Schizosaccharomyces pombe: one gene and its partner. The protein of the gene in region 2 interacts with the protein of the main gene of each other region in a biochemical or structural test. Each region holds a gene or a part of one and is shown on either strand. Other genes may lie near its edges.

Region 1 (4,017 bases), 1.7 Mb from region 2:
CGAGTAGCAGGATCATAATACTTGTAGGACTTAACGGTCAAGCCAGCTCGAGAAAATACATTCTTGTGATTTCCCCAAGTAGGGTCAGATACGTAAATAGTCTTTGATGGATAAAATGAAGCAAGGAAATTAGCTGCTATACACAAGGCACCGGTACCACTAATGGATTGAGCAGAAACCAGCCTATCCTTTATAGACTCGTAAACATCGCCATAAGCCAATTTTGTTGCTTGCACACGGAAACTGGGAATTCCTGTGATGGGTGCATATTCTTTGTCGAGTTTCTGACTCAACAGCTCAGTTTCTGCCTGACGAACACTGGGCAGAACATAAGGCTTTCCGGCATCATCACGATATGTACCAGCACCCAAGTTCATTTTCTTAACATCTCCATCCTTTTTATAGGCCTCTGTAATACCAAAGATGGGATCCGGTGGTCCCATAGGTACATCTGCCCAAACCTTGAATCCACGCTTGCTCTGACTTGCCAAGCATTTTACTCCATGGTAGGAAACGTTGGTTTTTAACGATGCAAATGTATTTGGATGCAAACAACGCAAATTCCTGGCCAACATCGTCGAAATCAATATTCTTCCCAAAGTTATTTCTGGGAGATTGGTTAAAGGCTCTTCACAGGCTCGCAATCAATCGAATCCTGCTAATATATATACGTTCTTATCATGAGAAAACCACGTGGTTCAATGTATCTGCTTACCGATCGATAACATAATCCGAAGCTGTAAGATGTCAAAATTAGATAACGACGTTTATTGTTTCTTTCGTTATCGTTCACTTGTAGAGCTGTTCCGAAAAAACATTAAAGTAGCATAGCGAAAGCTATAGTTTTGTAATCGCAACGTAGTTTAGCAACTAGTAAACAGTAACTCGTTAATTACCAATATTTATCGTAAGTAATTAAGGTAGTTAATAAATTAACATTAACAACAATAAAAATTGTAAAATAGCTGTTAGACTTGTAGAAAATATTTTTCAATAACAAGAAGTCATTCAATAATCATAACTTGAATAAGTCAATTTAGACCTTCGAACACTGTTTAAGTCATCAGACTGTCTTTAGTAGCTGCTTCTATAGCTTTCACTGTTGTTGCTGTAAAAGGTTGCAGAAGTAAGTTATAGAACAATAATTCTATTCATATGGAGGACTTTTATTAAGAAAAAAAACGAAATGAAGCCTACAGCACCCCGGATTCCCATGTTGTCTCCAACCATAGTACTAACGAGGCCCTCAGACGCTTAACTGCAGTGATCGGACGGGAACTGGTGTTTTCGCCTAGGTATGGCCGTAGACACCTAGTAAAATACTTTATAGCTTATATAATTTTATGCTATGTAATTTTGAGAGGAATGTGTGTTGTTTGAATTGGGATAAATATTCTTTAGCAATGATTCCTAAGTAAAAGATAGATGCAAGGTTAAATCACTTTAGCAAAGTCTATGTTCTAACAAGAAACACGACGAATGCACGAAAAGAGATCCGTACTCCTTTTAATAAAAATCGATGGCAATTGTTTAACCTTTTTTAAACCATTATTACTTCTACAACACTTTATATTGAGGAAAATTTACTTAAAGTGAGGTCTCTTGAAATGGAATGGTTGATTCACGCGTTGGTAACAGTAGATACATTTTCGTGTTCGAAATGTAAACAACTCAAGAAAATTAGGATGTGTTTTTACCATACACTATTCAAAAATTACAATATCGCAATACTATGTTACGCAATATGTTAGAGTGCCTTGAGCCACCGGTTGCTTGCATAGTGTCGTGGTGGAAAACGAGTGAAGCTAGATATTACCAATACCAGATCACTTTCACTGAGAGTATCGATCCAAAAAATGGTAAGTATTTGAGTATTTTGAGGCTGAAAACAAGACTGAATTAAATGTAATTTTTTCATCTATCGCTGAATAGTCTTGTTTTCACTCTATCACATTCTTTTCATGTTTTAATATTTAATCCTAACTCTCCTATAGGGACAAGCACAATCTGGGAATTTTTCTAATTTCGGCGATGGTGCCAACGGCGACAATAAAAAAGACCAAAAGAAAGATAAGCCCAAATACGAACCTCCAGTTCCCACTCGAACTGGTCGTCGTAAGAAGAAGGCTCAAAGTGGTCCTGATGCATCGGCAAAACTACCTACTGTTATCCCAACGACTCGTTGTCGTTTAAGGTTGTTAAAAATGCAAAGAATCCACGATCATTTGCTTATGGAAGAAGAGTATGTGCAAAACCAGGAACGTCTTAAGCCACAGGATGAACGAACTCAGGAAGAACGCAATCGTGTAGATGAAATTCGTGGTACTCCAATGTCTGTAGGAACTTTAGAGGAAATTATAGACGACGATCATGCCATCGTTTCCACAGCTGGACCAGAGTACTATGTTTCCATCATGTCATTTGTCGATAAAGACATGTTAGAGCCTGGTTGCAGTGTACTTCTCCATCACAAAGCCATGAGTATAGTAGGCTTACTTCTTGATGATACCGATCCAATGATTAATGTTATGAAACTCGACAAAGCACCTACAGAAAGTTATGCCGATATTGGTGGTCTTGAATCTCAAATTCAAGAGATCAAAGAGGCTGTAGAGCTTCCTCTTACCCATCCTGAACTCTATGAGGAAATGGGCATAAAACCCCCTAAAGGTGTCATTTTATATGGTGCTCCCGGTACTGGTAAAACTTTACTAGCGAAAGCTGTTGCTAATCAAACTTCTGCTACGTTCTTGCGTGTCGTTGGTTCTGAACTTATTCAAAAATATTTAGGTGATGGTCCCCGTCTTGTGAGACAATTATTTAATGCTGCCGAAGAACATTCGCCCTCTATTGTTTTTATTGATGAAATTGATGCTATAGGTACAAAGCGTTACGATGCCCAGTCGGGTGCTGAACGAGAAATTCAACGTACTATGCTTGAGTTACTCAATCAGTTGGATGGATTCGATACGAGTCAGCGTGATATTAAGGTTATTATGGCTACTAACCGTATCAGCGATCTTGATCCGGCTCTTATTCGTCCAGGTCGTATTGACCGCAAAATTCTTTTCGAGAATCCTGATGAAGCTACGAAACGTAAAATTTTTACCATTCACACTTCCAAGATGAATTTGGGCGAGGATGTTAATTTAGAAGAGTTAATTCAATGCAAAGATGATTTATCTGGTGCAGAAATTAAAGCAATCGTTTCTGAAGCTGGTTTGCTTGCTCTGCGTGAACGCCGAATGCGAGTTGTTATGGACGACTTTCGGCAAGCTCGTGAAAAGGTTTTAAAAACGAAGGACGAAGGTGGACCTGCTGGTGGTCTTTATATCTAAGTCCAACTTTGGTTATGACTAGTTTTACTCGCATAATGGCAATACTTCTTTTTATCCATACTTGCCATTGACTAAATAATTTCCAGTTCCTGTTTAGTTTCTACGAATATCTGTATTTCCATCTTCACTATTATTATTTAATCCTGTAGAGAAGTATTGTATGCATGATTATTAAGTTATCATTAAGTTTTATAGAGTAACTATAGATGTCCATAAAATTTATTATATCATCATACGTATTTTATTAACTTCGTGCATTCCTTGTCGGTTTAAATTTTGGATTTTTTAAAAAAAAGAGCGTAAAATAAGCAAAGCAAACAAAACGTGTCCATAGAAAATACCTCTCCGATACCTCTTTTTTTTTATTTTCTTCAATCGATCGCATTCACAATTTCAGTGACACAGTTTTCTGATTATATTAAGAAATTTAATTCTAACGTGTGCAACAAAACGCCTTTATAATACACAAAAGACGTAAACTAATCAATCAAATAATTACTTTTTCACCGGTTTACACATAGTGTGATATTCAACAGGCTTTAATGCACGGACTGTATCCTTAAATATAGAAAGAGGACAGATCGTATCATTGCCTTTGTATCCTTGACCTCGACATGCACCCATCACTACAGGGGTTGAATTGTAGGTAATTCGGACATACCAATCAGACATATCTCTA
Region 2 (5,541 bases):
GTCTTCAGATTTTAATATTAAAAGGTTTCCGTTCAACTAATTCTTTTGAAATTACCATGAATTTTTTCCTTTTGCTGATGGATTTCAAGGATAATGATTTGGTTGGCGTTGGTTATTTGAGGATACTATCCTGCTTGTTGGTGTCATTACCAGCGATGGTATATACATACGAGCATTCAGATCCTATTACTTTTGATTTAAGTGTTTTCTGTCATAAATTAGCTACTCTTGCTTCACAATTTAACGATGATGCATTGATTGAGCTTCTTGACACATATCTCAAACGTAAATTCAGGTCAATTAAGGATTTTTTAAAACATACGGTTTCATACCTATACTCCTATTATTTTGAAGATTACGAGCTAGAAATTGTTAGTACTCTTACGATGTTTCTATCAAATAATTTGACTTGGTTTAGAAAGTCTACGTTAGATGTGTTAAAAGAACTCTTTCCATTAATTGATTTCCAAAAACCTATATATTCCGAACATGGATTAGGTATTGTTTCACCGCTTCTTCGACTCTTACCTACTGGTTATGCAATGGAAGCGTTGTCTTTGCTAACCGACTCAGTGCTTCATGTATCTGCTCCCACAGATATGCAAACCTTAAAGTTATTAATGGTTGACCCTAAATTAAAAAATTCAGATGATCGTCTGGCTGGATTTTTTGAAATACCTGACGAGGATGGATGGTATGAACCAAACTCTGAATATGCAGCTGCTATAACTAAAAGCAACGTACATGCCGTATTTTATAGCTGTTCCACTACCGAGGCTTCTGTGAGTACGCCAGAGGTTAGATTTCATGCTGATGAAGTATCCAATTATCCGCGACACGTTCCTACTGACAGTCATGGTTCGCTTGACGAAAATTCACTAGGAGAGCTAGTTACAACTCTTCATAGCCTCGATGTCTTCTTCGCTGAAGATAGGGATGAAGAGTTAATTCAGCCTGATGTCGCCGTTGATCCAAAATTAGATATTACATCGGAAGATTATGACGATCGGATAGCTACGATTCTTTCAGGTAGCCTTAGACGGCAGAAACAAGGTCTTATGGCTTATGAAACAGAATCCTTCAGAGATTATTCACCGAACGAAGAAATTGATGCATCAGCAAAATTGCCGATGGACATGCCGCCGGTGAGAGTAAGAAAGTCGTCTTTTATCTCTAAATTAAAACCTCATTACTTTATGGATGCTGAATCTTATTATCCTTCTTTAAAGGCACTTGGTAATTCGGCGGAACATCGTTTATCTTTGGACGAAATACGAGGTGCAGCAGAATTGAAACAAAATAAAAATTGGAATTCCATGTTAGATCAATCTGTTTCTATGATTAATGAAGATTCAGTGGAAGACCATGAAACTCATGAAAATTATTATCATTTACGTACAATGTTTCAAGGAAGTGAAAGCAATGAATCTTTTACTGATACAACTCGATCCCGCGGTTGGCATTGAATTTGCCTATACTGGTTTAGTATACTTATACAAGCTTTTATGGTGTTCATGTGTGTAAGATGGAAAATTAGTCGGCAACGTTTATGGATGTACTATATAAAACTATTCGTTTGTTTTCATTATTTTATCATTTGCATTTTTTTGTTAATTTAAACTCGAAAATTCTTTGACCATTACAGCCTTTAATTTTAGAATTCAAAATCTTAGAGCGTGTCATGTTATTAAAAATCAAGCTATAACTATGGTAATTAGGTGTAGTGATATAAATCGGTTTCATATGTCCGTATTTAAACAAATGAAAACATAAAGAGTCAATCAATAACGAGTTATTTTACAACAATTCTTATAAGAAAAGAGGCATGAGATAATAATGTCAAGCATCGTGTAATAATGGTAATACATTGACGAACTTAAATAATAGATTATTTTTTCATTTGTACTGATCCATAAAGAAAGCATAGCGTGTTGTTAAATCTAATTAACGTGATAAATAATCAAATACGTAAACAATCGGTATACTGGTTCTGACTAGGGTGAGAGTAGTTTCAACGACAACACATTACTACTCAGTTTCAGAAAATCTTAGGAATCTAGAAAATGAGTTCTAAAGACATTAGTTCGAAGTCCCCGAGTGGTAATGATGCATTAAATGACAAAAAAGGGACAAAGACTTCAGAAACTAATGACAGAAACTCAACGAACAATACCAAAGAAAGGGATGAATTAGAGGATTTAGTAAGTTAAAGCCCTATTATTTTTCAAAATGAAAACTAACCAAATAGTCTGAAGAAGATTTACAATTAAAAAATGATTTGGAATTATTAGTTCAAGCTGTTCAAGATGCCACCCCTGAGTTGGTGGGTTCCAGTCTCACTCAGCTTAAAGAAATAATTCGTACTTCTACCTCCTCTATGACGGCCGTTCCAAAGCCTTTGAAGTTTCTTAGACCACATTATTTTACTCTCGTTAAAATCTATGATTCCTGGCCGCAAAGCCCTCAGAAGACTCAACTTGCTGATATCCTTTCAGTATTAGGAATGTCCTATAGTAATACAAGCAAACATGAATCATTAAAATATCGTCTTCAGGGCGTTACCACTGATCCTTCTTTATGGGGTCATGAGTATGTTCGCCATTTGGCTTCCGAAATAGAAGAAGAGTTTGCCAGTCGCCAGGAAGAGGAAGCGCCAACCGACGATCTTATGGAACTTGCATTGACCATTGTTCCATTCTTCCTTACTCATAATGCTGAGGCTGATGCTATTGATTTATTACAAGAATTGGGTGCTATTGAAAAAGTTGTACCCTTCGTAGAACTTGATAATGCTTCTCGCGTTTGTCTTTATATTACCAGTTGCGTTAATCTTTTGCCATTTCCTGAAGATGTCGCCATGTTAAGAACAGCGCATGCTATTTATCGGAAGTTTGACCAGCTTACACAAGCACTTAACGTTGCTATCCGCCTTGATGATATGTCTTTGATAAAAGAAGACTGTGAAGCTGCTACGGATCCCTTGTTGAAAAAGCAAATGTCTTACATGCTTGCTCGTCAGCAAATACCTATGGATATGGGAGACGAGGAGTTAAACGATGCTTTAAATAACACTCATTTATCTGATCACTTTCATTATCTAGGAAAGGAGTTGAACCTTATGGATCCTAAAGTTCCGGAAGATATCTTTAAAACACATTTAGAAGTGGCTAGGACTGGATTGGGTGCATCAGGAGTGTATTCCGCCAAACAAAATTTAGCTAACACTTTTGTCAATGCCCTTGTCAATGCCGGATACAGTAACGACAGATTAATTTTGGTCGATGACGAAAAAACGTCTTGGATTTATAAAAATAAAGAATCTGGTTTAATAAGTGCTACAGCTTCTATTGGCCTATTACAATTATGGAATGTTGACATGGGATTGTCTTTGTTGGATAAGTATTTATACTCTTCTGAGGAGAATACCAAGGCTGGTGCATTGTTGGGAATTGGTGTTACAAATGTTGCAGTAAGAAATGAAGCTGATCCAGCTATGGCAATTCTTTCTGAATACCTTGAAACTGGCTCCGTAAAGCTTCGTGCATCAGCGATTTTAGGTTTAGGACTTGCATACAGTGGAGCTAATCGCGAAGATTTACTCGACATGTTATCTCCAATTGTTACGGATACCGATTGCCCTATGCAATTATCCTGCTTAGCCGCATTATCTTTAGGTCTTATTTTTGTTGGTACTTGCAACGGCGATGTAGCTAGCACAATTTTACAAACTCTAATGGAGCGTGAAGAGTCTGCCCAAAATGATCAATGGGGCCGTTTTATGGCTCTTGGCCTTGCCCTTCTTTTTAATGGTAAACAAGACCTTGCGGATGCTACAGTCGAAACACTGAAAGCTATTGAGGGTAAAATTGCACGACAAGCTGAAATTTTGGTGGATATTTGCTCGTATGCTGGAACTGGCAACGTTCTTCACATCCAAAAATTGCTTCATATCTGTAGTGAACCTCCCAGTGATGATGCTAAGGAGAGTGAGACTACTATCCAGACATTTGCAGCACTTGGTGTTGCTACTATAGCTATGGGTGAAGATATTGGAGCAGAAATGGTTTTGAGACATTTCGATCACATGATGCATTATGGCGAACCCTCTATTCGAAAAGCTATACCACTTGCATTAGGATTGCTTTCCGCTTCCAATCCTCAAATGCGTATATTTGACACGCTTTCACGCTATAGTCACGATAATGATTTGGATGTTGCTTACAACGCAATCTTTGCAATGGGTCTTGTTGGTGCTGGTACTAGTAATGCGCGTTTGGCTCAATTACTCCGCCAACTAGCCAGTTATTATCACAAAGAATCCAACGCTCTATTCATGGTTCGTATCGCTCAAGGTTTACTTTACTTAGGAAAAGGAACAATGACGCTTAACCCTTATCATACAGAACGGCAGATTCTTGGTCAAACTGCTTTTGCTGGTCTTATGACTGTTGTATTAGCTATGCTAGATGCAAATACCTTTGTCCTTGATACCTCGCATTGGTTGCTTTATGCTATTACGTTAGCAATACGACCCCGAATGCTCATTACCCTTGGTGAGGACGGTCAATATTTACCAGTAAGCGTTCGAGTTGGTCAAGCAGTAGATGTGGTCGGTCAAGCTGGTCGTCCCAAGGTCATTACGGGTTGGGTCACACATACTACACCAGTTTTGTTGCATCACAATGAGCGAGCTGAACTAGCGACGGAAGCATATACACCTTTGACTTCGTTGGAAGGTATTGTTATTTTAAAAAAAAATACGGAGGACATTGAAATGACCGCTTAAATGACTTGAAGTTAAATGACTACAATTTTTATGTACTAATGCTTGATTTCCAGTTCTTTGCTATTAATAAAACAAACTGGATTGTTGAAATTCAGCGCCCGATACATTTATTTTTCTATTTCGATTATGTTAAATTCGTATTTTTTAGATTAGAAATGTTCTAGTATTGTTCTAAATTGAAGTAGCGGAAAGTATATATACATGATTGCAAATTTGTAATTAGGATTATAATTTCTGTTTCTTTTTTTTTGTATTTGTCGCGTTACCAAAAGGTAATAGAACGTCCACTGCAGAAACGTCTTGTTGGATAAAAATTGCCCGAACTAAGGAGCTACCATTTCTTAGTAAAAAAAATTTAGACCTGCGTTGGAGCTTAATGCAATTATCAAAGAATGAATTTTAATCATCTTCTGATAATCCGACAAAGGAGTTGACTGCTTTGCGACGCATCCCTTATGTCACGTTTCTACTACTGTTTCAATACCTAACCATTACATTAAAGGTAAAACTGCACATTAGATACTTCGCATTTAGGGAATAACGGTGAATAGCTTTATTTAATTTCAAATATTATCTTGAATTGTTATTATGTTTCATCATATGCAGTCCCAAAGTCTGCTCATCGTTAATTCATTTCCACAGGTAAGTTGTGCATTCATTTCGTTATGTGAAAAAATGGAATGACGCTCGTATTTGAATTGATAGAAATGTCATATATGACTATTAGGGGACTATTATGTGTTGATTGAACAATT

The links.
Region 1: the proteins of mts4 (region 2) and rpt2 form a complex in vitro, tested with the Schizosaccharomyces pombe proteins (one study listed by BioGRID).

What each region holds. Positions count from the first base shown.
Region 1 is NC_003423.3:1,197,219-1,201,235, reverse strand, and holds rpt2 (19S proteasome base subcomplex ATPase subunit Rpt2), read left to right. Parts: upstream 1-1,807; 5' UTR 1,808-1,856; coding exon 1,857-1,859; exon of another isoform or gene 1,860-1,860; intron 1,861-1,994; coding exon 1,995-3,338; 3' UTR 3,339-3,458; downstream 3,459-4,017. Other genes in the region: aspartate aminotransferase Maa1, read right to left, coding at 1-575; SPOM_SPBC4.06 (acid phosphatase), read right to left, coding at 3,834-4,017. UniProt on the Schizosaccharomyces pombe protein: The 26S proteasome is involved in the ATP-dependent degradation of ubiquitinated proteins. The regulatory (or ATPase) complex confers ATP dependency and substrate specificity to the 26S complex.
Region 2 is NC_003423.3:2,850,575-2,856,115, reverse strand, and holds mts4 (19S proteasome regulatory subunit Rpn1/Mts4), read left to right. Parts: upstream 1-2,013; 5' UTR 2,014-2,063; coding exon 2,064-2,201; exon of another isoform or gene 2,202-2,248; coding exon 2,249-4,786; 3' UTR 4,787-4,995; downstream 4,996-5,541. Other genes in the region: morphogenesis protein Mor2, read left to right, coding at 1-1,466. UniProt on the Schizosaccharomyces pombe protein: Acts as a regulatory subunit of the 26 proteasome which is involved in the ATP-dependent degradation of ubiquitinated proteins.